7 linked regions of the Canis lupus familiaris genome follow. The protein of the gene in region 7 interacts with the protein of the main gene of each other region in a biochemical or structural test. Links are inferred from orthologs where the notes say so. Each region holds a gene or a part of one and is shown on either strand. Other genes may lie near its edges.

What was found.
Region 1: of the proteins of CDK1 (region 7) and RPA1, one has a biochemical effect on the other in vitro, tested with the Homo sapiens proteins (2 studies listed by BioGRID). The link is inferred for Canis lupus familiaris from reciprocal best matches to the Homo sapiens genes CDK1 and RPA1.
Region 2: of the proteins of CDK1 (region 7) and PRC1, one has a biochemical effect on the other in vitro, tested with the Homo sapiens proteins (2 studies listed by BioGRID). The link is inferred for Canis lupus familiaris from reciprocal best matches to the Homo sapiens genes CDK1 and PRC1.
Region 3: of the proteins of CDK1 (region 7) and EZH2, one has a biochemical effect on the other in vitro, tested with the Homo sapiens proteins (5 studies listed by BioGRID). The link is inferred for Canis lupus familiaris from reciprocal best matches to the Homo sapiens genes CDK1 and EZH2.
Region 4: of the proteins of CDK1 (region 7) and H1-0, one has a biochemical effect on the other in vitro, tested with the Homo sapiens proteins (3 studies listed by BioGRID). The link is inferred for Canis lupus familiaris from reciprocal best matches to the Homo sapiens genes CDK1 and H1-0.
Region 5: of the proteins of CDK1 (region 7) and SP1, one has a biochemical effect on the other in vitro, tested with the Homo sapiens proteins (2 studies listed by BioGRID). The link is inferred for Canis lupus familiaris from reciprocal best matches to the Homo sapiens genes CDK1 and SP1.
Region 6: of the proteins of CDK1 (region 7) and USP16, one has a biochemical effect on the other in vitro, tested with the Homo sapiens proteins (3 studies listed by BioGRID). The link is inferred for Canis lupus familiaris from reciprocal best matches to the Homo sapiens genes CDK1 and USP16.

The regions. Positions count from the first base shown.
Region 1 is NC_049230.1:45,977,604-45,981,434, reverse strand, and holds the end of RPA1 (replication protein A 70 kDa DNA-binding subunit), read right to left. Parts: intron 3,085-3,831; coding exon 2,998-3,084; intron 1,555-2,997; coding exon 1,450-1,554; 3' UTR 537-1,449; downstream 1-536. UniProt on the Homo sapiens protein: As part of the heterotrimeric replication protein A complex (RPA/RP-A), binds and stabilizes single-stranded DNA intermediates that form during DNA replication or upon DNA stress.
Region 2 is NC_049224.1:53,738,554-53,742,747, forward strand, and holds the start of PRC1 (protein regulator of cytokinesis 1), read left to right. Parts: upstream 1-1,378; 5' UTR 1,379-1,390; coding exon 1,391-1,449; exon of another isoform or gene 1,450-1,717; intron 1,718-1,981; exon of another isoform or gene 1,982-2,108; coding exon of another isoform or gene 2,109-2,119; intron 2,120-2,950; exon of another isoform or gene 2,951-2,965; coding exon of another isoform or gene 2,966-2,988; intron 2,989-4,194. UniProt on the Homo sapiens protein: Key regulator of cytokinesis that cross-links antiparrallel microtubules at an average distance of 35 nM. Essential for controlling the spatiotemporal formation of the midzone and successful cytokinesis.
Region 3 is NC_049237.1:1,579,883-1,583,973, reverse strand, and holds the start of EZH2 (histone-lysine N-methyltransferase EZH2), read right to left. Parts: upstream 2,811-4,091; 5' UTR 2,756-2,810; intron 1-2,755. UniProt on the Homo sapiens protein: Polycomb group (PcG) protein. Catalytic subunit of the PRC2/EED-EZH2 complex, which methylates 'Lys-9' (H3K9me) and 'Lys-27' (H3K27me) of histone H3, leading to transcriptional repression of the affected target gene.
Region 4 is NC_049231.1:27,827,429-27,831,591, forward strand, and holds H1-0 (histone H1.0), read right to left. Parts: upstream 2,729-4,163; 5' UTR 2,445-2,728; coding exon 1,860-2,444; 3' UTR 519-1,859; downstream 1-518. Other genes in the region: GCAT (2-amino-3-ketobutyrate coenzyme A ligase, mitochondrial), read right to left, coding at 1-73. UniProt on the Homo sapiens protein: Histones H1 are necessary for the condensation of nucleosome chains into higher-order structures. The histones H1.0 are found in cells that are in terminal stages of differentiation or that have low rates of cell division.
Region 5 is NC_049248.1:44,843,641-44,847,024, reverse strand, and holds part of SP1 (transcription factor Sp1), read right to left. Parts: intron 2,519-3,384; coding exon 2,319-2,518; intron 1,876-2,318; coding exon 1,562-1,875; 3' UTR 1-1,561. UniProt on the Homo sapiens protein: Transcription factor that can activate or repress transcription in response to physiological and pathological stimuli.
Region 6 is NC_049252.1:24,578,248-24,581,787, reverse strand, and holds part of USP16 (ubiquitin carboxyl-terminal hydrolase 16), read right to left. Parts: intron 1,994-3,540; coding exon 1,890-1,993; intron 1,060-1,889; coding exon 956-1,059; intron 89-955; coding exon 1-88. UniProt on the Homo sapiens protein: Specifically deubiquitinates 'Lys-120' of histone H2A (H2AK119Ub), a specific tag for epigenetic transcriptional repression, thereby acting as a coactivator.
Region 7 is NC_049225.1:13,554,699-13,558,728, forward strand, and holds the start of CDK1 (cyclin-dependent kinase 1), read left to right. Parts: upstream 1-1,197; 5' UTR 1,198-1,282; exon of another isoform or gene 1,283-1,407; intron 1,408-1,784; exon of another isoform or gene 1,785-2,427; intron 2,428-3,081; 5' UTR 3,082-3,107; coding exon 3,108-3,144; intron 3,145-4,030. UniProt on the Homo sapiens protein: Plays a key role in the control of the eukaryotic cell cycle by modulating the centrosome cycle as well as mitotic onset; promotes G2-M transition via association with multiple interphase cyclins.

The sequences.
Region 1 (3,831 bases), on a different chromosome or scaffold from region 7:
CGGCTCCACCAACGGCCACCATATGCCATACTTGCATGGATTAAAAACCAGGTCCTCCCACTGCAGGCTGACTGCAACATTGCCTGGATGCTTGGGGAGAGATGTGCAGCAAATGCCAAGTGGTGGGTCGCAGCAACCAGAAAGATAATTAATATGATTAGGAACACACAGGGCAAGCATGCTCTTGCTGACTTAAAAGCCTAGTAGCATAATTACTGTTTTCTTACTAGCTCACTGTCTGTACACATTTCAAAGCCTGGTTGGTGTTAGACTGCTGTGTAAACATCAATAAAATCCCAAAGTGCCAGATCATCAGCATTCTTGGTCACAATGGCTTTTTGTTTTTAGTGTTTTTGTTCTTTTAAAGATGCATTTGAGGGTTGCAAACATTAGGATGAATGATCTCTATGACTTGGACTAATCTTTGAGTCTGTAATGAGTTAACATCTCCCCCAAGTGAACATTTATTATGAAGGCTAATTAATTGCTTCCCAGTTACAAGAACCCTTTGCATTCAAAGAAAGTAGAAAGTAGGATTCACACACAGAGAACATTCTGTTTATTTAAACAAAGCAGAGGAAACAAAGGGCTCCTTCCTTCAAAATCCCTTCTATTTAACATAGCTTCAATCAAGAAATGAAACATATAAATGCAAGAAATATGTACAGGTAGAAAAAAATGTGCATTCACCAGCCAAAATGCAACATTAATTGAAACGAAAACTAAAACAATGCTTTGTAGTTGCCCGGATGTCCCTGTGGGACAGCAAGTCAATGCTTATCAGCCTTCCTCAGACGAGACAATTTTGATTAATATCAGACCCATCTGACTTAGTCTATTAAACCCTGAAGGAGGGATATTCTTCAGATATAAAAGATAAGTTTTTTGATTAATAATTCTACCCTATTGCCATCCAAGTATTTACAACTATGTGGCACCTCTAGAAAGAGCGAAACTTTGAATTCTAGAAAGACACACTTACTGAAGTACAGGTTCTGCACGACCAATTTTGGGCTCTCCCTCCTGAGAAGGAACCCAGGTCTCAAGGGTGTCATCACTGGAGAAGCTAGTTACATAATTTATTTCACCGTCTGCAAAGTTAGGGTCAATTACTTGTGACATAATTTCTGATTGAAGATAATGAAATCTTAGTAAAACTGACAAAAGCCTGAAGACAGAGGGAGAGAATGGCACTACACTATCCACCAGCTGACCTGCCAGGTCTGACAGTTTACCCGACAGTCGCCTGAGCACATTTCTCTTTGCCTGTGTCAACAGGTACCAGTGGGCTCCAAGCTGCACTGATGGGAGGAAAGCGCTTTGTCCCCTGTGGAGAGGCCCTCTGCTCCACTGTGTAGCTAACGTGGAAATGTCCCACAGGAGTGGGAAAGAATCGGTTTCATTTCAGCTCTGTTTTTTCAAACTTCTGCCCCATCAGCTCTGGTCTTCTCACATTAGTGCGTTTCTCCTGATGTTCATGATCAGCCTTCTACCATATTCTCTGTAGTCCACGGGCTTCACGTCCATCACAGTGGCCTTAATTCGAGACTCATCCTTTGAGAAGAGAAAAGCAGTTTGTGAATGGAGGAAAGCCTGTGGCATGGAGCAGTGGTGCTAACCCCCTTTGCTTTAGAGGTTTCAATGATCTCAGCGAGAGAAAACACAAAGACATGCTGGATTTAGTGTTTAGTAATTCCAATACAGAAAAAAATCATGAGTGAAAGCCAAGTTCAGAACTTCTGGAGCTGGGAGAGAGGACAGAAGCCTCTCTTCATTCAGCAGAGTCCCCTTTTTGTCCTTCCCTCATGCTCCCAGGTCTCAGAAACCTCAAATCCAAATGGGATGGGCCTTAGCAGGTTTATTTTCTTTGCAGAGGGGGGAAATAGGAGCCCAGAGAAGATAAGTGACTTGCCTAAAAGCCACACAGCTAATTCTGAAAACAAAAGTAGAGGAGGAAGACTTGGTCTGGGTGCCATCCCAGCTCTGTGGGAGACCACCTCTGCACCTCACCTTCCCTGTCCACATCATGAGAGGACTGCATGACCTTTCGAGCTGTCCCCTGCTCCCACCTCAACATGACACTCTAGCACAGACACTTGACTTGACACTACCTCATTCAAGGTCTACAGAAACAAACAAACCTGGCAGGAACTAAGGTTAAAGTGTAATGATAAAACAGAATGAGGAGACCCTAAAACAAGCAGAGAGGTTTTCAGAACTCTCCCTCTTTGCTCATTCATCAGGACTGAACAGTGCCTTTATTTTAGAGGCAGGATGAGGTGATGCCCAGAAAAAGTGCACAGTCTAATTCAGGGGTTCACGCACTGTCATGTATATGTGCTCAGTAATTACGACAAAGTGCCATTTCTAAGAATGGAAAAGAGCAAATCTCTGAAGCTGGGGGCTGGAATCTTAGTTCTGCCATTTGCTGGCATATGCAAAGTACTTATTCTCTACATGCCTCCATGTTTTCAGTGGTAAAATGGGGCTAACAGTCATTCCTCCATATGGGTTACTGCCAGGATCAAGTGAGATAGTAGATGTAAAGGGCATAGAATAGTAACTGGCAGACAGTAAGTGCTCAATAAATGCAGTTACTGTAGGACTATACAATTATATGATGCTATAGGCAACTTGAATAAGTTTTAAGGTTATTTTAACTTTGTTCGGTCTTTGTTTTGTATATGAACCCTAGGGCCTAAACCTCACAGGAGTCCACCAAACATCTGACCATTCTTTGTCACTACACCAACAAAACCCCCAGGTTGTAACCGAAGAACCATGCAGCATTTCCCTCTAGATGCTTGACACTAAACAAAATACTTGACCTCTCTAGGTTCGTTTCCTCAGTGCTGGGAAGATTCAATGAGTAATAAATGCAGGGCGGTAAGCACACTGTAAGCAATTAAGTGACAGCTAACACTGTACTGTTGCTGTGAGTGACAAATAGTAGCTTCCCACTGCTAACCCTTCTGCAACCCAGCAGACCCCACTTACGTTGTAGGTCTCTAGTTTCACCCTGATCCTGAATGTGAAAGATCGGAAGTTGGCATTCTGGAAAACTTCCTCAAATGCTTGCTCGTTCTGCAAAAACAAATGTAGAACTTTAGGCATGGAAGCTACCAGACCATTTGAAAATATCCACTAAGATTCTTTTTTAAAAAGATTTTTATTGGGATCCCTGGGTGGCGCAGCAGTTTGGCGCCTGCCTTTGGCCCAGGGCGCGATCCTGGGGACCTGGGATCGAATCCCACGTCGGGTTCCCGGTGCATGGAGCCTGCTTTTCCCTCTGCCTGTGTCTCTGCCTCTCTCTCTCTCTGTGTGACTATCACAAATAAATAAAAATTAAATAATAAATAAAACATTTAAAAAAAATAAAAAGATTTTTATTTATTCTGAGAGACAGGCAGAGACATAGGCAGAGGAGAAGAGGCTCCCTGTGGGGAGCCTGATGCGGGATTTGATCCCCCGGACTCCAGCGGACTCCGGGATCATAACCTGAGCCAAAGGCAGATGCTCAACCACTAAGCCACCAAGGTGCCCCCCTCCATTAAGACTTTTGAAGGGGCACCTGGCTGGCTCAGTCAGATCATGCAACACTTTTTCTTTTTAAAAATATATATTTTATTTATTCATGAGAGACACAGAGATAGATGCAGAGACACAGGCAGAGGAAGAAGCAGGCCCCTTGTAGGGAGCCCGATGCAGGACTTGATTCCCAGATCTGGAGATTATGCGGAGCTGAAGGCAGATGCTAAACTGTTGAGCCACCTAGGCATCCCAAGCATGCAACTCTTGATCTCGAGATTGTAGGTTTGAGCCCCATGTGGG
Region 2 (4,194 bases), on a different chromosome or scaffold from region 7:
CTATCAGAAGCAAAACCCCTGAGTCAGGGGAAAAGCCAATTCAGAGGTCAAAAAACGGAAAGTGGAATTGGTTAGGGTTAGGCCAACATTCTCTTTCTTTAGGGAAGGGGGATTGACTAAATTTTTCTCCAAAAGCCTGTCACCTGAGTCTTAAGACCAACAGCCGCACTATTCGCCTTTAACTGCCTGACAGGTGCCCGGTTCTGCTGTTTGTTACAAAAGGTTACCCGAAGGAGAGACATCTTCCAGAAAATAAAGGATAGAGTCCACATTTACTCACCCTTTGATGGGAGGTCCCAGGTTTTGGCACCAAAATGATACGGGAGAGCTTGGTTCTTATGGAGTTGAACGAATCTCCAGGACAACAGAGGGAGCAAAGCCATAGAGGTTTATTAAGCAAGATAGAAAACTCTCAAAAGTGAGAGGGGTCCTGACAGGGTTGCCACTAAGGGCTTTTATGTTTTGTTTTGTTTTTGTTTTTTTAAGATTTTATTTATTCACAAGAGACACACAGAGAAAGGCAGAGACATAAGAAGAGGGAGCAGAAGCAGGCTCCATGCGGGGAGCCCCATGCGGAACTCGATCCTGGGACTCCGGGATCACACCTTGAGCCAAAGGCAGAGGTGCAACCACTAAGCCACGCGGGTGTCCCTATGGTCTGTCTTTTATAGGGAACTGACCAGGAACTTGGTAAATTTCTTATCCATATCAGGGTGGACTTGTATATATCATGTCTTTATTTAGAACAAACATGGTGGACTTGTAACAACAAGATGTTTCTTTGTAAACATCATAAGCACAAACAAGTGTTCCCTTCTCTCTGGTTAAGAGCTCCTCCATATTTCTCTACATCTGGGGTTTCTGTGAGCCTAGTAGCCATTAAAGGGGAACACCCCCTAACATTTTGGAACTAGGGAGCCAGGATTTTTTGGTTTTTTTACGGTCTTACCTGTTTCCTTCGGATGGGTAGGAGCCTCTGGGGCCTTTTGGTGTCCTTGGGGTTTATGGGAACCCACAGATTCCTGGAAGCCTGACTCTAGACCTTTCCCTTATCTTTTCCTACCTAGCCCTGTCTGCTCCTAACTTGTTCCTACATCAATATCATGCAATTGTGAATCACTGAATACAAAGTTTTATATAAACATTTAGGGATGGAGCATATGTTCAGGGAAAAAAGGATACCCTGTTGGGACCCCTCTCTCTCACTTTTGAGAGTTTTCTCTGAAGTGCTATTATCTGCTTAATAAACCTCTATCGTTTTGATGTCCATTTTGAATTTTAAAGTTTTCACCGAAAGAACTATGGCAAGCATATCTTCTTTTGTGTACCAATCATGTGACCTGGGCAAGTCCCTCAAGACTTCCAGAGACGGATCTCTTCCTACGTAAGAATGGCGATACTACAGAACGCGGCTGCTGTGGAGAGTAAACGGGATGGAGGTCTAGAAAGGTGCCCGGCCCGGGAGAGGGGAGCAGGGTGCGGCGTTCCTTCCCCTGCCCTCGAGCGCACGGCTTCCCGCACCTGGGGAGAGCTCCCAAATACCAGCTCCAGGCTGGCCACCTAACTGGGCGTGGGAAGCGACCTAAGCGCCAGGCTTTCCCGCAACGCCAGCTCCTGCCGCAGGGCGGCCGCTGTCCCCACCCCTTCCCGGCGGCCTCAGGGGGCTGCGCGAACTTCGAAACCTAACTGCGCCGGACGGGGTGGGGTGGGCATTGGGCAGGATCCCCGGCGGGGCGGGGCGGGGCGGGGCGGGGCGTCCCTCCGGGCCGGCTCCACCCGGCGCATGCGCAGACAGCGACCTCCGCCGTCAGCGGGAGAGCCATCGCTTCCCACGCCCACCGCGGGAACCGCAGCTCAGAGTCCCCGCGCGTCAGGACGCAGCGCGCGCCGGCGGCCGCCAGGGGGCGGGGCTTGGCGAGGAGCGACGGGTCTTGGCGCCAATCGCTGGGCTGCTCCCGCCTTCGGGCTCGATTTGAAATTCCGCGGAGGGCTAACGGCTCGGAGCCCCGGCTTGGAGCGGGACTGTGGTGCGTGTGCGAGGTTGCTGCGCTCAGCTCCGCGTGGAGGAGGTCTGGGGCCTCGACGGTCGGCTGCTGGGAGCGTCCGCCATGAGGAGGAGGTGCGGGTTGCAGGAGGGTCGAGGGAGCGACGCCTGGCCCGGGAGCGGGGGGCCCCGAGGCGGCCCCGGGGCGCGGGGGCGTACGTGAACGGGCGTCGAGTGCAGCCGGGGCGCGGCCGGCGGGGCTGGGTGGCGCTGAGCTGGCGCAGGTGCGAGGGGCCCCGACGCGGCAGGGCAAGGCCTGCAGTGCCCCGGGCCCGGCGGGGGCCCCCCACACCCCGACGCCCGGGAGGCCCCGACGCTCCAAGTGTCCGCGAGCCCCGCCCGCCCGCCCGCCTGCCTCCCTCTCAGATGCTGCCTCTCGGCTCGGCACCGGCGCAGCCGCTCTTGGTGGGCCGCTCCCTCGCCTCTCTTTAAATAACGCCGTCAGGTCGTTGATCCGCGTGTCCTCCGCGGGGTGGGCTGCCGCGCCAACGTCCCCGACTTGGACAGGGAGCCGGGTTCCCTTGGGAGTCCAGAAACTCCACTGAGGAGTCACTCGCCACGCCGAATGTCCGCTGTCTCTTCACCGGTCTCTGCTCCGTTTTTCCCTCCGTAGCACTTACTGCCCTTTACTGGAAGGTTTGCTTATTTGTCACTTTTTTTGTTGTTATTAGTGTGCAAACTCCAAAAGGACAGAGATGTCACTTTTCTAAAATAATAATACCAAGGGTATAGGGCTTTTGTGTGGAGAGTGGTGAAGACGTTAGCCCTACTTTCTGAAAGCGGTGGGTGAGGCACTGAGATGATTCATTACTGGTTGGTAGTTACTGGTCAGGCTGATCATTCTGTGGCTGTAGAAGCTGCTGCTGCTTCCCTAATTTCGAATTCTCATCGTTCTTTTTCAGGTGGCTTGCCTTCCAGAGAATGGAAAATGAGTACAAATCATGGTACCATTGTAAAAACAGCCAGGGTTTTTTGTTTTGTTTTTAAAGGTTTTATTAATTTATTCATGAGAGACGCAGAGAGAGGGACAGAGACAGGCCGAGGGAGAAGCAGGCTCCATGCAGGGAGCTCCATGCGGGACTCGATCCCGGATCTCCAGGATCACGACCTGAGCCAAAGGCAGATGCTCAACCACTGAGCCACTCAGGTGGCCCAACAGCCAGGGTTTTAAAATTAATGTCAGTAACTGCTGTAATTTATTTATTTTTAAAATTTTGTTTATTCATGAAAGACACAGAGAGGCAGAGACACAGGCAGAAGGAGAAGCAGGCTCCACGTAGGGAACCCCACGCGGGATTCGTTCGGGGTCCCCAGGATCACACCCTGGGCTGAAGGCAGCGCTAAACCGCTGAGCCACCAGGGCTGCCTAGTAGCTGCTGTTATTTCTATTAAAAAAAAAAAAAAAAAAAAGCACATAATCTGCAGTTTGTTTTGGTTTGTGACTTAATTGAAAAACTTAGATATGTTTACTAATTAAGTTAGCTAAATTAGGAGCACCTGTGGTACCTGGGTCCTGGGATCAAGGGATACAACAGACTCCTTGCAGGAAGCCTGCTTCTCCCTCTGCCAATCTCTTGTTTCTCCTCTCTCTCACTCTCTCTCTCCCTCTCTGTGTCTCTTATGAATAAATTAAAATACAAACTTAAAAAAAATTAGCCAAATTACTTTTTACAGAATTAAATGACATGAGATTTGTAGATCTCGGGTCCAATTAAAACCAAAAACCAGGGATCCCTGGGTGGCGCAGCGGTTTGGCGCCTGCCTTTGGCCCAGGGCGCGATCCTGGAGACCCGGGATCGAGTCCCACGTCGGGCTCCCGGTGCATGGAGCCTGCTTCTCCCTCTGCCTGTGTCTCTGCCTCTCTCTCTCTCTCTGTGACTATCATGAATAAATAAATAAAATCTTTAAAAAAAAAAAAAAAAAAAAAAAAAACCAAAAACCAATTATCTGTACAGCAAATGGACCACTAACCTCCAGTGGATAGGTGGGCCACTAACTAAAAGCACTCTGCAGATAGTTGTTAAAATGAAAAGGTTAACCACCCCTTGGATTCTGTTACTTGAACAAATCTTAATGGGCCAGTTGGAAGATGGGTGTTTGGAATTAATAAATCTTCTAGTTCTCCAGTAGTTTTCAGAGAATTAAAAGAC
Region 3 (4,091 bases), on a different chromosome or scaffold from region 7:
GTAGGGACATAAAGAATCCAAGGCAAATCCGTGTATCATTTCTAATTGACCTTAGAATACATTAGACGCTAGAAGAACTTCATTTGTCAGTTTCTAAGAAGCAGATCAACTTTCTTAATCACTATTTAGGCCAATACAGAAATTCACACTCCTTGAGCATGCCAGCTCAAGGGATGGCAGATAATCTAGAAAAACGTCACTAGGACTTGGAGAAATCTGCTTAAAATTTTTAAATAGCCAAAGCTGGCATAAAAGTCTCAGAACTGGGGATCCCTGGGTGGCTCAGCGGTTTAGCGCCTGCCTTTGGCCCAGGGCTCGGTCCTGGAGTCCCCAGATCCAGTCTGTCGTCAGGCTCCCAGCATGGAGCCTGCTTCTCCCTCCTCCTGTGTCTCTGCCTCTCTGTCTCTGTCTCTCTCTCTTTATGTCTATCATAAATGTCTCAGAACTTTTATTTTGCCCTAAATCAACAAGTGTTTTTTTTTAATCACTGCTACTTAAAAGTGACTTGTATATACTCACAATTCAACCAGAAAAAAAAAAAAAATCTAAGCCAAAGCCCCAAAAAGGCTTTTTAAAAAATTTTTGTGGCACGTATAAGGACAGTAATTATCAATTACAGAATACACAAGGGAAAAACTAGAATTTATCCTAAAAGATCCAAATTTCTGCCAAGATCTGCATAACTCATCTCCTAACAGTGGGCAAGAACTATCAGGACTTTTTAATAGATAATTATCAGCAACTAAATCTAAACATCATTTAAGCATCTCAACCCTGAGGCAGCACCTGGGACGTCCGTTCAACGGTGTCCAACAGTCTCTGCAAAATATTCGTAATAAAGACTTTCACACTGCGTTTCTTTTGTCTCCATTTTTATGCAACCAGAAGACAGTAGGTGCACATTAGCTCTTTATCAGAACGCAAATAAAGAAGAGTGCCTGTGGGTCTCTAAATTCCTTTTCTTTGAATATGTTCGGTTTCCACAAAAATCAGAAAGGAAGATGCAATTTTCCTAAGTTTCCAAGAGTTTAAACATCCCGTATCCTGATCGGTCTACAAAAACACATACAGGAATCTTTACACATAGGACTAGAATCCCATCTAGCCCCAACTTAGACCCTACGAAAAGAACATCAAGATACATCTCAACCATTTTCGTCTTCCTGCATATAAGATCATCAATAAAGTGGTCAGGCTCTGAACACCTGTCCACTTTATTCCTAAATATGAAAAAGAGTTGCTAATGCTCACGGAAAGAAGAGTGATGAAAAACCACCTCCAAAGCCCCAGAGAAGTACAGATCATAATTCAACCGTACGAGCACTGGACTTTTTTTTTTTTTTAAGATTTTTTTTTTCTTCTTCTTCCCCAAAGGTTGCTTTAGGTAATTTTCAAACGCCAAAGAATGCAACCGCTGAGCTCCGGAACCAAGAAAGCAAACCGTGTGGAATACTTTTCAATTCCAGAGCCGGGTTGTTATTTCCACACGGATCTTTTAAGTTTTACGGGTCCTGTGCTGCAAACAAAGGAAGTTTAGCTTGACTGCGGGCAGCACACGTTGGGTTTCTTAGGCGACACACGCTGTCTGCGTCCAGGCTTTCCTGCCTCCCCAAACCTATTGTTCGGGGGAAGTTAAGACCCGTCCGTGGGAAGGAGCTCGTCAGCCTCCAGACGCGCGTCGGTCCCGCGCCCGCCCGCCCCTCCGCCCGCCCGCAGGGTGCTCGCCGCCGTCCCGCCGCGGGGCCTGGGGCCGGCCGCCTGCGGGGCAGCGGGTTTCCTCGGCACCTGCCGCCCCCTCCGACGCACCCCACCGGTTGGCCAGGGCGGCCCGCGGCTGCTTTTCTCTCTTGGGGACGGCGATTCTTTGCAAAGTGGGAACTCCCCGAGACGCGCCGAGTTCACCCAAGTTTTCCGAAAAGAGCACGCTCCTCGGCTCGTCCCGTTTCCCGAAAGGGACCCCGCGGCACGGACTCCGTGGGGACGAGGAGACGGGGGAGGGGAGGGAGGGCGAGAGGGGACCCCGCAGGCCCAGGAAGCCGAGACGGGGCGGACGGCCCGGCCCTGCCCGGCCCTGCCCGGCCCTGCCCTGCCCGCAAACTTAGGAGAAGGGCGGCCCGGCACCGCCTCGTCCGCGCGGCCGCCCCAGCCCCGGCTCCGCTCGCCGGGCCCGCGCGCGGGGAGGGGGCGCGGGGCGCGGGGCGCGGGGAGGGGGCGCGGGGCGCGGGAGGGGGCGCGGGGCGAGAGGCGAGGGGCCGAGCGCCCGCCGCCGGGCTCCCCGCGCCGCCCCCGCCCGCTGTCAGGCCCGCGGGGCTGCCCCGAGACGCCGGCCGCCCTTTGTCTGCGTGCGCGCCCGGCGGCGCGGTCCCACCAACTTGTGTGCGCCCCGCGCCCCGTCCCGCCCGGGCGCCCCGCCGCGGCGCTCCACACAAAGGAGCCCGCGCGCCCGGACGGCGGACGGCGGGCGCCCCCAGCCCAGCCAGCCCGGCGCCCGCGGACGACCCCTCCGCACGCCCCCCCCGCCCCCGCCCCCCGCCTCGGGCGCCCGCGGCCCCCGCCCGGCCCCCGCCCCGCCCCCGCTCCCGCCCCCGCCCCGCGGCATCCCCGCGCCCCCCGCCCGCCGCGCCGGCGCCCGCGACACCCCGCTCGGGGCGACACCCGCACGGGCAGCGCGGCGTTGGGGATGTCCCGGCGCCGCCGCCGCCCCCCGCCGGGCTCCAGGGCCCCGCCGCCGGCCGGCCCGACAGCGGCGCGTTACCTGCGCCCCGCGCCCAGCCCGCGCCGCTCCCGCTCCCGCTCCCGCTCCCGCCGCTCCCGCCGCCGCCGCCGCCGCCGCCGGGGCCCCACCGCCTTCTGCGTCCCAGCGGGTGTCGGGCGCTCCCGGACCGAGCGCCAAACCCGGCAGCCCAATCGCCAGCGCTTTTATTTGGCCCCCCCTGTCCAACTAAGCGCCGCCCCGATTGGCGGGCCGCGGCGGGCTCCCGTCCAATCACAGGGCCCGCCGGGCTCGGAGGCGCCGCGCCAGCCCCACGCAGAGGCGCCCGCGGGACTCGGCCGGGCCGGGCGGGCGGCGCGTGCGCGCGGGCGCGGGCGCGGGCGCGGGCGGGCGCTGAGGGACGCGGCCGCCGAGTGGAAGCGCCGCGCCGTTTCTTTGTTCTTTGGCGGAACGCACGGCGCCTCGCGGGAAGGCGGGAAGGCGGGAAGGCGGGCGGGCGGGCGGGCGGGGACGCGGGGGCCTGCGCAGCGCCGGGCCCGGGCGGGGAGGGCGGGGTGGCGGGAACCGGCCGGAGGGCGGGACGGCGCGCTCGCGGCGCTTGGCGGGAACCGCCGCCTCGGAGTTCCCGGGCCCGAGAGGCGGGGCGGGGCCGAAAGCCAAGTTTGAACCAGTTCAAAACTCGGGGGTGGTAACGGTTGCAACTGCCGCGCTCTTTTCCCCGCGCGCCGGGCCGGGCCGGGCGGGGAGCGCGGGGCCGGGGCCGGGGCCGGGGTGGGGCCGGGGGCGGGGGCGGGGGCGGCGCACCGGGTTAGAGACCCGGGCTGCAGGGGCGCCCCGCACCTGGGCCCGGGGCAGACGCCGAGCCCGGACCCTGGCAGCGCGCGTGTCGGCGTGCAGGGAAGATGAAAGAGAATCCTTGCTCAAGGACCGCTGTGGTTCCCTCGCCTCCTGCTAATGCTTCTGGAAAACGAAAACCCTTTTCGATGATCATTAGGTGATCTTGGAGGAAAACCTTGTCGCACCGGGAGGAATCGGGGACGTGTCGGGTTTTAGGGCACAGTCTCCTCCCCCTTTGGCTCTCGTCTGTCGAGGAAGTCAAGATTGGGCCGAATTTATTTAGCAGGACGCAGTTATATAGTTAGTTATAGGATGCAACTGTGCAGTGGTAGGATGCGAACATCACTCATGCGAACTGGGGTTCCATGCTGAGAGTCAGACCCCGGGTCACCTACGAACTGTTGAGTCTAAAACCCTAAGGACACCGTGTTTCTTTTATATATGTATATTTAGTATTATAATATTGTAATATATTATCATATATTAATATAATATTATGTTAATAGTAAATTTAATATATTAACATAATATTATATATTAT
Region 4 (4,163 bases), on a different chromosome or scaffold from region 7:
TGAGCGCCGACAGCGCGCGGCGGCCGCGGGGGGCCGCGGAGGGAGCAGCGCGGAGCACGCGTCCGGCCCACATGGTGCCCGCTCCGCCCGAGCGCGCCCGCACTGCCCGCGGCCTTGCCGCCGCCGCCGCTCGGTCAGGGCCCGGAGGCCGGGCCGCGGCAGCCAATCGGGGCGCGGGGGCGGAGTCCGAAAGGGGATTGATGGGCGCGCGGCGACTCCCCGTGGGGGAAGGGGAGGCGGCCCCGCCCACCAGCCCCCCGCCCTCTTCCCAGCCCCAGCCTACGCACCCGGCGCTCGCGGGCTAAGGAGGTGCAGCCGGGACCCCAAGGCGAGACCCTAGAAGCAGGCTGAGGCACGCTCTGCACCCTTCAGCGCCGTTTCCTGGTGCCCGTCCCACTCTTGGAGCCGGCTCCACTCTCAGGTGCACACGCCGCCCGGATTCCACCCTAGCTCGCCGGCCCGATTGCTCCGCATTCGCCTCCGGCCATAAAAGTGAGGAAAAAAGGCACCGCTCAGGGTTTCGCTTTTTTTTTCTATTTTATTTTAAAGTTTTAAAATTACAAAGACAGCAAATTCTTCCCGGCACAAATAACACTTGTTTAAAAAAAAGGGGGGTGGGGGGCGGACCACGCGCAAGTGCGCATTTTCCTATATTATTAAAAATAAAAGACGACTGTACAGGTTTTTTTCTCCCAGCTCCCGGGTGTGAGACGAAAGTACTAGCCCTAGATAGGTATATATACATATACACACAGACACACAGACCTAGCTCTGTGAAACTACTTAGCAATTCAAAATCAACTGTAGTATGTCTTACCGTCCACTTCCCGCCCACTCCCCCCTCCCTCATCTACAACTACTTTTATAAAAGACGCAAAAGTAAAGAGGTTGGGAGGTTTTTAAGTGGCAGGTGGCAGGTCTGGTGCCCCACCAGGCCACCAAGCAAAATCACCTCTTTCTTCTACAGGAGGAACCAAAAAACCAGGGGAAAAGGAAAAAGTCCTCCTAGGATACAATCCAATTGTGTGGAAAAACCCAAGTTTTAACAGGGCACACTGAGGCACTTGGCTGAGTCCCCACCCTTCCCCCAAAATTTCCACTCCAGTTTAACAGGAGACTTTCTGAAGCCACAAAGACCCCCCAATGGCTAGTTTCCAGCTTACTGAGAGAAGCCACAGCTTCTGGGACCAGCTGTCACTTCGATCCCCTCCTTCTCTTCCCCAGGACAATAGGGAGGCCACAGGGGCACACTCACAGTGAGAAGGAAACTGGATTTGGACCCCCCACTGCTCACTATTGGAAGGTGGAAGTCAGCCGCCCCCCCCCCCAGGGTTTTTTTTTTTTTTCCCCCCCCACTTCCCTCCTTTGCCATCCAGCTGCTACCACTCCTCCCCTCTCCCCACCAAGGTTCTGGAACTCTCAGGGGTGTGCCACCTAGATTAGGCTGGCTGACCTTAAAGTACTCCTGCAAACCTTACCATTTCCGGGGTCCCCCTCATCTCGTCCCAACAAGCGGCCTTGCCCATTCTCTCCCGCCCCTTTACCTTCATAGTGAACAAATCAACCAAACAAAACACAAGCCCACCCAAGTCCCTAAACCCATTAAGTAGATTAATAACAAGTCAACAAAACAAAATAGAAGTACATTCTCATCCTTAGGGATGAGAGTTGTGGCTGCTGTCCTTGCATGATTGGTTAAGGAGAAATGAATTATTCCCTAATTTCTGAGGAATCCAGATTCTGTCTCTTAGGAAGTCAGAATACAAAGGGGCAAATGAAGATCAAGAGAGAAGAAATGAGAAAAAGTATTTACAGAAAATAGGAGACAGGCAGGAGTGTCCACAAGAAAAGCCTCATTGTCACTTCTTCTTGCCGGTCCTCTTGGCACTGGACTTGGCTTTGGGCTTCACTGGTTTGGCCTTCTTAGGCTTGGATGCCTTGACCGGCTTGGCCTTGACAGTTTTGGGTTTTTTGGTTTTCTTGGGCGTGGCAGCTGGCTTCTTCTTGGCCTTCTTGACTGGGGTGGCTTTGGGCTTCTTGCTTGGGGCTTTGGAGGCAGCCTTCTTGGGCTTGGCTGCCTTCTTTGGCGTGGCCACCTTCTTGACTTCTTTCTTCGTCTTCTTGAAGGCCACTGACCTCTTGGGCTCGTCGCTTTTGGCCAGCCGGAAGGACCCCGAGGCACCCACCCCTTTGGTCTGCTTGAGGACCCCAGTGGTGACCAGGCGCTTGATGGACAACTTGATCTGCGAGTCGGCGTTCTCACCCACCTTGTAGTGGCTCTTGATGTACTTCTGGATGGACTGGCGCGAGGAGCCAGCACGGTTCTTCTCTGCCTGGATGGCAGCCACGATCATGTCTGAATACTTGGGGTGGTCTGTGGACTTCTTGGAGGCCTTGGCCCGCTTGGGCTTGGCCGCAGGCGTGGACGTAGAGTTCTCGGTCATGGTGGCCTGTCTGGTCCTGCTGTCGAAGGAGGCGCCTTCCAAAGGGCCAGCCCTCGTCGGAGGCCGAGGAAAGCCTTACTCGGGATCTGCTCTGGCGCTCCTCCTGACTCCCGGGCCGGTCCGGGCCCGGCTCTCGGGGACCTGCCTCGGGGCGCGGGAGGACTCGCGGGAGGACTCGCCGGGCCGGGTCTGTGCGGCCCAGCCCCGCCGCTCTGTCGGTCGGTCTCGGCGCCCGGCTCGGGCTCGGGCTCGGGCTCGGGCTCGGGCTCGGGCTCCGGCTCGGGCTCGGACTCGGGCTCGGGATCGGGCTCGGGATCGGGCTCTGCCTCTGCCTCTGCCTCCGCCTCCGCCTCCTCTGCCTCCCTATTCCCAGCTCCGCGTCTGGCGCTCGGGCGGCGCATCCGGGTATTTAGCGGCGGCGGGCGGACCGCGGTGAGGACAGGGCTGCTGGCTGCCTGCTCCCGGCCCGGAATGGCGCCGCGCCGCCGCCATCTGTGTTTCTTCCGCCCAGCAAATCCGACCTTTCCCCCCGGCCCGGGCCCTCCCGCTCCCCGCCGCCGCGCGGGACCGCTGCCTGGCTCCCTGGGCTCCCCCGCCGGGCATCCCGCCGGCCCGGCCGCCGCCCCCCGCGCCCGCCACGCGCCCCAAACGGCGCCGAGGACCGCTGGTGCGCCTGCACATTTCCCCTTTGCGGGGGGCTGGCTCTGCGGGGCCGGGGAGCCCCGGTGCGGGAAACCCCTCGTAGCAAAGCTCCCCCCTGGGGCTACCGGGGACCCCGCTTCCGGCCCGCGGCGGGACCCCCCAGCCCGGCGGAGCGGCTGGAAAGCGGCCCCAACTAACACACGCTGCCCCGAGCTGGGCGACTCCCAGCCGGGCCGAGCCGGGACAGGGGGGAGGGGTCGCTCCCCCGGGGTCCGGTCACCTCTCGGGGGGCTCACCCCACCACCGGGCCCCTCGCACCCCTGCCTCTTCTCTGTCCTTGGGGCCCCTGAGCAAACTTTCCCTGGAAGAGTTGGAAGGGCACTTTCAAACTTCGTCCCTTCCCCCTCCTCGGCAGGCTCTCCCCCAGCCTGCCCCCCGACCCCTGCGTGGGGGTTCTCTCCCGGGGCCGAACCCCCGGCACTGCCTGGGACCCCCCAGGGAGTGAGGGCGGGTCTCCGGAGTCCTCTCCTCTCAAAGAGCCCCACATCGCCCGCATATCCTAATCGGGAATGCATTTATATGCCTCTTTCAGCCTAGGAGTTTCGGGGTCTCCGAGGCAGAACCTTGCTGCCCCCACCCCCGAGGCACGGCCTGGGGGGCAAGTCCCCCTCCCAAGGTCCCTTGAAGGCAGTGGGGGGGGGCGGGCTGCAATGCAGGAGCTGTCCCAAAGGCTCCAACCAGACTTGTCCTGGGGGCCCTTGGGATGAAAAGAGGCCCTGGTGCTTTGGGAACTTGGGGAAACGGCGCTGGGGGGGGGGGTCTCGCTCCTGGGGTCCTGACTAATCCTCTGAAAGTGTGCAGTTGCTCAGAGAGCCGTGGCCGGGACCACCGCCATTTTGCTGGGAGGATGGGATGTCTTTGTTAAAATGTATACATCTTTGCCAGGCTGCTGGGCAGGTATAGATGCGGGACAAGGGGCGTCACCCTCTGAAGGGAATCTTGAGGCGGCTCCGAGGGACTTTAGGGGCCAGAGGCCAGCAGAGGGGACCCCAGAGTTCCGGGGACCCCTTGTCTGTG
Region 5 (3,384 bases), on a different chromosome or scaffold from region 7:
ATGCACTAAGAGTTCCCTGCCGCTATAATTTTTGGATCAGTCTCTTCAGGAATCAGGCCATGGAGAAAGCAGGATGGTGTCTCCCGATCTCTCTTATAAACCACAGTGGTAAGACAAGATTTCTTTTTGTTCTGGGCTATCACTCCCATGATCGTGTGCTTCCTTTTCCCTCAGGAACCACCCAAGGAAGAGTTAAGGGAAAAGGTCAAAGAACCTCTGCCTTGCCACTAGTACATGCTCTGGAGTTCTGCGGAATGGAAACCCGAACAGATTCATTGGCTGATGTTCCTTAATAACATGAGAAAGAAACTACTGGGGATGTTCAAAAGAGGAAGTGCATTTCCTTTCAGAATATGACCTCAGAAACCCATACACCAAAGCTCAGAGCTACTTTGGAAGACAGCTGTACAAATGTCCAAATACTCTACTAACTCCTGAACTGGACTACTCTGAGTCACTTCCACTTCTGAGCACATCATTTTCCTATTGAAAGCCCCTAGCTTTTACTTGACCATTTTTGACAATTTATACAAACTGATCCCAGATTATATAACCTTTAAAGGGTCTTTTGTACAATTCCATAGAAAGACGTCTGACTCTTGATGCTTAGAGCAGCTAATGAGGAGAGGTGCCTTGGACTCTCCAGCGCCAAGAGGGTGCCTGCGTCAGTAGTATTTTGAACACTCTCTCCACAGCTAACTCAAGCATCAGCCTGGGCTTCAAGGCTCTCTCCACTCTGCTGCTAGGACCAAGGACCTTAAAAGATTGACAGAAGTGCCTCATCCAGGGATCATTATCAAAACCAAAACATGAAGTGATCAGGTGAGAGAAAGGGAGACAGAAAGGTTGAGTCAAGAAAAGAGTACAAGAAGCTGATCCCAAATAAAAAGACAAAATTAAGAAAAAACATTATGTATGTATATATAAACTAAAAGCAGAGCATATGAACGCTTAATCTGGTGGGAAGCCAAGACAACATCTATAGAAAAGCTTGATGTGTCACAACAAGGCTCAGCCATAGGGAAATAAGGCAATATAAAAAAATGACCAAGGTATTTTTGGTCACAGAATGGTCTCCTTCCTCCTCCCAGCCAACCCCTGCAAATGCATCTCTATATATCTTTTATATATATATATATATATATATATATAATATAGAATCTGGTTTTTTTTTTGTTAAAAAGTATTTCAATGATCATATATATTTATCAAGGCATGATGGCTTTAGGAAAGGGGGGATCCATCATGGGGGAGCTGAGAAGGGAAATGCAAGAAGGGAAAGCTGGGGAAAGAAGTGTAAGAAACTGTGTGGGGTCAAACAAATGCTCATAAAGGGTGGCACCAACAGAATTTTCAATAACGTTTCTCACTTCAGGAGGTACTGATGATAATAGATGGATGCCAGGACCCCATCTCTTGTATCCCTCCCCCAATTCTTCCCACCACCATGCATTTTAATGCCTCATGGCTCTCTCTCCCACATGTCTCTTGGACCCATGCTACCTTGTATCCCAGGGTTGATGGGTATGGCCCATATGTCTCTGGCCCCGGGTGCCTGATCTCAGAAGCCATTGCCACTGATATTAATGGACTGCAGATCTGCCACCTGCATGACGTTGATGCCACTGTTGGCAAGACGGGCAATACCCTCTGGACAGATGGCCTCCATGGCTACCATATTGGTGGTAATAAGGGCTGAAGGGGTAGCAGTGCCGCTGCCTTCTGAACCTGCCCCACTGTCCAGGGGCAAAGTGCCCACACTCAGGGATACACCTGGGCCTCCCTTCTTATTCTGGTGGGTCTTGATATGCTTTGACAGGTGGTCACTCCTCATGAAGCGCTTGGGACACTCAGGGCAGGCAAATTTCTTCTCACCTTGGTAAAAGAGAAAGAAGACAAGAAATGAACATCTTACGAAGTAGGGTTACCTTGTCCAATTTACTGCTTTCAAACTATATGGGACAGAATATTAGTCTTAGAAGGTAATAAAAACAAGAAAAATCTGGTATCTTTTTCTTTTTGAGAGAGTGGGGGCAGAAAAATAGGTAAAGGTCAAAGAGTACTAGAAAGGAAGGACTACAGTAGAAAAGTAAGGTAGGACCGAGAAGAATAATGGGGCCATGGTCCTCCTTTAAAATCCCACTGAACACCTAGCTCCTTCCTTCTGAAAGGTTTTCCAGATAAACTCCAATTCGAATCATTTATGTTCCATATATTCACTTTCAAACTTAATTACTCAGAAATTTAATTATTTCATAGATATATTTTGTGTCTTTTTATGCTATTACTATTTCTTTCCTCCCGGGGCTCCTTCTCACCTGTATGTGTGCGTTTGTGTCTTTGTAGTTCATCCGAACGTGTAAAGCGTTTCCCACAGTATGACCAGGTACACATGAATGGCCTCTCGCCTGTATGCCAACGCAAGTGTGCCCGTAGGTGTGAGGTCTTGCCATATACTTTGCCACACCCTTGGATGTGGCAAATGTGCTGTTTCTTTTTGCCGGGATCCCCAGAGCCTCTGAAAATAAGAACACAACTATTCATAATGCATTCTAGAGACAAGAATTAAAGAACCCCAAAATGTTAACATTTATTACCTGACCCACTCAAAACTAACCCAAATTTCTATTTAAAAACAAACACTTCTCTTGGGGCACCTGGTGGGCTCAGTCAATAGAGCAAGCAACTCTTAATCCTGCTGTCATGAGTTCAAGCCCCATGTTGGGGGTGGAGGGAGAGAGGGAAGGAGGGAGGGCAGGCTTCTCTTTAGTACCAAAATATCAATCTTTAGGGGTGCCTGGGTGGCTCAGTCAGTTAAGCATCTGATTCTTGATATAGGCTCAGGTCATGATCTTGGGGTCATGTGACTGAGTCCCATGCTGGGCTCTACGCTCAGCATGGAATATGCTTGAAATTCTCTCTCTCCCTCAACCTTTCCCCTACCCCTGCTCGTACCCTCTAAATAAATAAATAAAACAAAGACATAGATCTTTAGTTGATGCTGATTCTTAATACCCCAAATTCAAGTTTTAAATTTTTTCTCTACTGGATATTTACTATTTCCTGTTTTTCTATTCCTTAATCAATTCTGATGTTTGATGTATGAAGAGATAATTGCTCTCCGGATGACTTGTGAAGTCTGTGAGGCTTCTTGTATTTTTCACAAAGTTTGTCTTAATACAAGCATTTCCTTCCTCCCTCCCTCCCTTCTTTTCCTTTTCTTCTTTCTTCCTTTCTTTTTTCTCTTAAGATTTTATTTATTCATTCATGAGAGACACAAAGAGGGGCAGAGACTCAGGCAGAGGGAGAAGCAGGGAGCCAGATGTAGGACTTGATCCCAGGACCCTAGGATCATGACCTGAGCCAAAGGCAGACGCTCAACTA
Region 6 (3,540 bases), on a different chromosome or scaffold from region 7:
ATGTTTTCCTTTTTCTCTCGCTCTTGTTCATTTTTGCTCTCCTTTTCTAATTTTTTATTTTCAAGTTCAACATTACCATCTTTTGCTGCTTTAAAAAAGGGAAGAAAACAAAGACTTAGCAAAATGTGTAATACAACTATAACAAATGCAAAGTTATAGTTGGGACAGAGTATTAGACTTTGTGAATTTTTATCTAACATCATTATCCCCAGCTATTTCATTTTAAATGTTTTCTAACAGATATAATTATCATCACAAGAGAAAAACCAATAAAAACACTCAAAAGTGATGTAAGCATTAGTTTGACAAATGAAACCAAACCGTGTGTGTTTGGTATAAACCTTTTTTATTGCATAAAAGTTTTTTGTTTGTTCATTTGTTTTACAAATGAGCACATCCTACTTTATGAAATTAGAGTATAAAGTAATCAAGTAAAGAATGTGGACCTGAAATAAATTTTTAAATGAATGGGTGAAAAATGAATCCTGAAGTTAAAAACAAACAATTCCAGCTGTGCAGATACTTCTGTGACCGTAAAAATCAAAACAAGCTTAAAGCAGATGATGTATGCCAATCCAATTAACTTAATTATGCATGAAAAAAAGCTGAGAAATAGCTAGCCTTCACTTTTACATCATCCAAACACAAATGTAACAAAACAAATTCAGTACAAGGCAGGACCATCTCAAACCCCCTACAGAAAGGGCATCCTGGTCATTACTTACTCCAGACTCATCATCACATTTGACTAGACTGTTTCTCAGATTCCCTTCTATATCATATTATAACAATCTATAGTTCCATTGTTTTTATATTCCTAACCAAAAATAGTTTCATAGTTTGAAATCAACTATAATTAATGTTATTCAGTTATATATAATGCTCAGCGGTAAGTAAATTTATCTAAATAGATACATAAATTAATATTACAGAATACATAAACAAATGATTTTACCTGATTTTGGAGTTGTAATGCCAGCTTGTTTTCTAACATAATCAACCACCTGACCCAATCTGTTTGAACTACAATACTGGACCTCATCATCACATAGGTAACACCTGTTTCCCAAAAGACCACAGAGAAGAAAAGTGACAAACTGACAACCAAAAGAGGAGATGAATTATAATTCCTGGAACCCAAAGTGAATAGCCACCAAATTATTCTGTTAAAGAAACTGAAAATAAAAATCTGTGTTTTCTTGAAGAAGACAGACTATCCATGTTAACTCTGGTTTACTATTATAGTAAATTTAGTCAGAACTGTGGTTACATATAAATAAATACATATAAAAACCCCAAATACTTTACTGAAATGGCTATTTACAATCTGAAAGTCGAAGTCTTTCCTACACATATTTCAAAGTACAGGCCTATATCGTCAAAATTAAGACGTTTTACAATAGACAGATGATGTTCACTGAATGCTGCTCTGTAGATATTTTTTAAAGATATGAAAATGTGTTTTGATGATGTTATAAGAAATATATGTACCAGCCTGACATTTATTCTCATGCAAATTCACTGCAAAAATCTTACTATATTCTCAGTTCATCTGAAATTGGTTCTCAGTGTCCCAATTTTTAAATAACCCACCACATGCCATTTAAAATAACCCACCACATGCCATTTATAATGCACCGCATGCCATTTATATCAAAAGCAAGAAAAACAGAAGGGTGAAGACTCATCTGTCTTCTAGATGCTACACTTTCTATGTGCATACAATAATACTAAGTTGAAAGGTTCTCAAATTCTCTAGCCTTCTGAAAGTGATGTATTTAAACAAATCCTACAAAAATGTAAACCTTCTTCCTCCTTAAACCCCTCCATTCTCCAATATTTCAAATACTTACCAGTCAACTGACAGGCATAAGAGTTATTAAACTTACCATACACTCCAGTTGTCCAAACTGAGAACCAGACAATGAGGTTCAGATCTTGGTGTCATATAGTGCTTCAAGGCATGCTGCTCCTGAGAATCTCTGCCACAGCCCTAGAGAATAATAATCATAAACCTCGAAGCTATGAAAGTTCACCAAGAGAATTCATAATCCATAATGCACAAGCAAGGGACCTGAGAAATTCTGTCATTCTTACAATTTTGAAAATAACATGGTGGACTCTAAAGAGGGTCCCGATTTTATGAAAACCTAAACATGAATAGGCAACTGAGAATATCTAGCAAAGAAGGTATTCAGGAACCATGCACTCAAAGTACTCTTCCTCTCCAACTTGTCCTTTCCAGTCCCAACTAAATCATGCTAATGTAGCCATTCACTAGGTCTAGCACAAACCACTTAACAGCTTCTGAAGTATTTTTCTGACTTCAACTTCTTTCTTCACATACATATCTTTTTGAGTTTAATGGTATCTAAAACAAATTTCCACTCACACACTCAACTTAAAAATTATGAATTGCTTTTAAACTTCTAAGTAACAAACCTGATACCATCTGACCTCACCCTATCTTTCCAGGGTTAATTCTCATATTGTCCTATTATCAAATCCCACCCAGTCTTCAGGATCTAGCTCAAAGGCCACTACCTCTCACAAGCCTTTGGTCATCCCCCCCGAGATGAAGAAACACTGTATTCTTACTGTAAGCTAACTCCTACAAAATATGGGATAAATTCCTAGTGGCATTCCTATTTTCTACTTCATATTAAAGTTGTTACTGTTTATAGCCTTCCTCCCCTGGACTATAAATCCTGAAGACACAAAAACAAAATTAATCTTTCTATTACCAAAAAATTTACCAAGTGGAAGGAGGTCAGTAAGCATTAATGGAACAAATAAATGGGAGATTTTCACTTATTAGATGTTTAGGCTTATTCATAAAAGAACAGGACCAGATTCTCTGCCTTTTGCTGGTTAAATCTCTGCTGTAAAATATACCCTCACTATGTATCTATCTGAATCAGGCCATCAACTCCCTTGGATTGCACTACGGAAGCGGTCCTGTTTCTGTGATAGCTAAAACTATATGTCAAAGGGGAAATGTTTATCAACAGCTTCTAACCTTTACCTGTGATATCAACACTACTGATCTGATTTATCCCATTCAACATTTCACTCTAAAATAAATATTAATTTTGAAAAAAAAAATTTAACATCATTTGAGATCATTTGAAACATAAGAATGAGATGACCTGTCTTAAGATAGCAGTTGAGAATCACTTGCTTAGCAGTGCCAAGGGAACAATAGTGAAACTGTCTTACCCTTAGGAACTAGATAGATAGCAAAATAAAATTTGTAATAGGAAGTGTATTCTGGAAAATCTAAAGTAACAAAACGTATTCATTCTCACCATATATAGTTAAGAACGACAGTGAAAATCTAAATATGTTCTTTGGAATGCCTGGGTGGGGATCAAGTCCCACATCGGGCTCCTTGGAGGGACCCTGCTTCTCCTTCTGCCTGTGTCTTTGCCCCCCTCCTCTCTCTCTTTCTCATAAATAAATAAAATCTTAAAAAAAAATAAATCTTTGCTATTATTCAATTTTTTTAAGCCAACTGAGCCACCCAGGGGCCCCAACACT
Region 7 (4,030 bases):
ACCCTGAACTGACAGAGAACAGTCATCTTCCCTAGAGTACTTCTCTGGGGTAGTCAATTTTCATTTAAAATGTGAACTTGGGTGTTGAAAAGTAAGTTTTACAAGTTCTTAGGTTCAGGCAGAGATTTCACAACCACCTACCTCCAATGTGAACCCCAAGTGCTCTGTCACCTAGGAGCACAAAATTGTTAAGACCATGTGTTGGTACCACAAATGGTGCCAGATGACAGATGCTTCTCACTGTGTAAAAAAGGTACTAAACACTTACATGCATGTGATATACTAGCTCATTGTTTATCCTAATCTGGGTCTTTTTTTTTTTTTTTTTTGGTATATGGAACAGTTCAAGAATTTGTGCGTCATCTTTGCGCAGGGACCAACTTAATCTGTTTTGTTCCAATTTTAGCACATTGCTGTCCAAGCCAGCACCTAATCTGGCTCTTCTGACAGGTCTTTGTAGCGTTCATGGTAATCCATCCTTGTTCTACATTCCATTAAGAGCAGCCCTTATTAGGTGACTCTTATTGCCAGTTCTATTTTATTTTTTAAAGACTGAAAGAATGATGTTCAAGTGCAAACATCTCTCTTAAGGTTATTGTGGAGGGCAGTGAGAGAGAGAGAGAGAGAGAGAGAGTTTTTGATACTTAGTTATTTAAAGTATAATTTAGGTCTCCCCCCCCCCCAAAGACTTGTGAATTTTTGTGTTCTAAAAAACTAAAATTCTGTTGTGAAAATATTTAAAAATCTAAAAATGTAAAATTTTGTCTTTCATTTTTAAATACATGGAATTTTAAGTAAATGGAAACTTTAAAATTCTGAAAATAAAGTAAAAACAAAGCATATATGCGTGTGTGAAATGGATTCCTTTGGCCCAGCCGGAAAATCACCCACTTAGAAAAACACCATTTACGGTAGCTTTAAGTATTAGAAGTGAAAGTGATGGAATCTGAATGTCAAGGTAGCATCGCTTTTGTGATGAGAGAGCTGAGTGCAGTACGTTTTAATTGTGCCAATACTGAACAGGGAAGAACCCGACCCAGGGCCAACAGTAGATTTCCGACGACCAGAAGCAGTAGGACGACGCTCCCCAGCGATGAAAGAAAGCGCCTGCGCTGGGACTCAGTTGGCGCCCGCCCTCCTGCTTTTTCGCCAGCCGCCGTTTCCACCCTCTTTCGCGCTTCGGCCTCCCGGGAAGCCCAGCCCCGAGCGTCGCTGAGCTCCGATTGGCTCCTTTGAAAGTCTACGGGCTGCCTGATTGGCGGGCCCCCGGCCCTTTAGCGCGGTGAGTTTGAAACAGCTCGCGCTCCGCTTCAAAGCTGGCTCTGGGAAGTTGAGGCGAGAGCGACGCGGACGTGGAGGCGGCCGCTGCTTTCGCCGCGGGACAGTAAGGCGGGCGGCCTCGCTGAGGTCAGGGTCGTTCCTGCGGGGCGTCTGCGCCGCGGGGCCCGGCTCGGAGGCCGCGGCTGGTGGTGGGAGGCCGCGGGGGGCCGCGCGGGGCCGGGCCGGGCCGGGCCGGGCCTCCGGATCCTAGGCCGCGCCCTCGCTGGGGCCCCGGGGCCCGGCCCTCCGGGGAGGCTGGCGGGAGCCCCGACGCGGCGGGCGCGCTCCCGGGCGGGTGAGGCCGCCGGCCGGCTGAGGAGGCCGTCGGGGCGTGGCGCCGGCCGGACGACGCCGATTGCCGGGCTCCGGCCTGGGCCCCGCGCGCGCCGCCCTGCTCCCTGGCGTGGCCGGCCAGACCCCACCTGGGCCAGGTGCCCGCGTGGGAGCGCCGGCGGGCCCCGCTGGCCTGTGGGCCTCCCCGGGGTTCCCTGCGCCCGCGGCCCTGGCGCGCCCGGAGCTGTGGAGAGACCCGGCCAAGGACAGAACCAGAGGAGGAGGAAGCTCGGGGTGGCCCCTTGACTCTAAGCTGTTGTATGTGCTGTGCCATCGGCCCACAGGGAAGGCTCAGAAACGCCTCGAGAAAGCACATACGCGTGTGCTCAGTATTCCTGATCGGTCTTTGTTTAACACTAGAGCTCCCCATGTGCACGCCTGCTTGCTTGCTTCAAAGACCTGGAGGCCTCTGGGTAGGAGACGAAGCTGTGGTGTCGCGGTGCCGGGCCCCAGGGGCAGGGCCTCCAGAGGCTTTGTGAAGCCGCGTCCTCTCTGTGAGATTGTCACAGCAGCGACACGGAGAGCCGGCGAGGCCTAGGAAACCCAGCTTTGAAAGGCTTGCTCAGAGCGAGCTCGACAGTTGGATTGTTCGTCAGGCGTGTTAAATCTGGGCGTCGTAGAAGGGATGATTACCGTTCTGTAAAATTAAAAATGTCTAAGATGGGAACTCCTAGCCAGTGTAGTGCAACTTCGTTCATTTAAAAAGATTTTCTTGCTTCTACTTCTGGCATGATCCCGGAGACCAGTGCGAGCGTCGACTACCCAGTGACCTATGTACGTAATCTTATCAGGGATGAGTGTGTTAGAAAGTCAAGGTAATTCTACTCTGGGCTTCTGAAGTGAAGATTTCTTTGGCAAACTTCTCAGCTGAGGACGTCTTGAAGGTCTTGTCAGCCTCTCAACTGACGTTTAAGCAGTCTTGCTGATGGTGGTTGATTATTACGGCCACAGTAGCTCTATTTGTGTCATTAAAACTTTTTTCCTTTTGAATTTTCTTAGAAAAGGGGTACAAATTCAGTCAAATAACATTATTTGACTTACTTAACACAAATAACATTTGTGGAAATGGCTGGGTATAACTGGCAGAAATTGATGCTCCTTAGAAGTGTTACATAAAGAAACACACTTGTTTTTTTGTTTGGGAGGGATAGATAAGTTTGATACCTGAATTTGAGGGTTAATCTGATTGCAAGAAGCAAAGTACTACACTGGCTAAGATATACAAATCCAATGTTTTAAGAGCTAAAAAAGGTGGAAAAATCTTATTGCAAAGGTCCCTTCCCTTGTAAATGTTTTAACATAATTAGTATTTATGGGAAATTAATACTGCAGTAGACACTGGAAAATGCTTTATACTATCATTAAAAACTTAAAACCATCTTTTGAGTTAGTGGCATATGATCAAATTAATTTTTTCTCTCATTTTAGGATCCTACCGTATCTGTTGATTAACTATGGAAGATTATACCAAAATAGAGAAAATTGGAGAAGGTGAGTGGTTTTAATAATAAAAGAGTTAAAAAATGATTTGGTAATGCTCTAATATCTGGGACATGAAAACCTGTAAATATTTATTGAAATCCAATCTTTAAGGTGTCCTTCAGTGCTAATGTGCCTTGATTATATGTTCTTTACATGGTAACATATGCACAAAATGTTCAGATTTCAAGAAAATTGAAATTATTCTGATAGGATTCCCTGCCAACCCTCTCCCATCCCCCTAAAAATCTTATATTTTTTAAGTACTAAACACTTAAAGCAATATTTGTATTTTGAAAACACTATTGAGATCTTGTGTTATGTTTTGGTGGGGAGAGGTTAGGGAAGTAGAATTTTTTTTTTTTTTTTTTAAGATTTTTATTTATTTACTTGAGAGAGCACAAGCAGGGGGAGCTTCAGAGGGAGAGGGAAAAACTGGCTCCTTGCTGAATGAACAGGGAGTCCATGCGGGTCTGTATCCCAGAACTCTGGGATCAGGACCTGAGCTGAAGGCAGACGCTTAATCGACTGAGCCACCCAGATACGCCTAGGGCAGTAGAATTCTATTAAGTTTAATAGTGTACTTTTAATCATGTACAATTCTTTTTAAGTGCTTTTACCCAAACTTTCTAAACTAGTATAATAGACTATTAAACCAATTTATTTATTTATTTATTTATTTTTTAATTTTTATTTATTTATGATAGTCACACAGAGAGAGAGAGAGAGAGAGAGAGGCAGAGACATAGGCAGAGGGAGAAGCAGGCTCTATGCACCAGGAGCCCGATGTGGGATTCGATCCCTGGTCTCCAGGATCGCGCCCTGGGCCAAAGGCAGGCGCTAAACCGCTGCGCCACCCAGGGATCCCTATTAAACCAATTTAAATAAATTTTTTAAT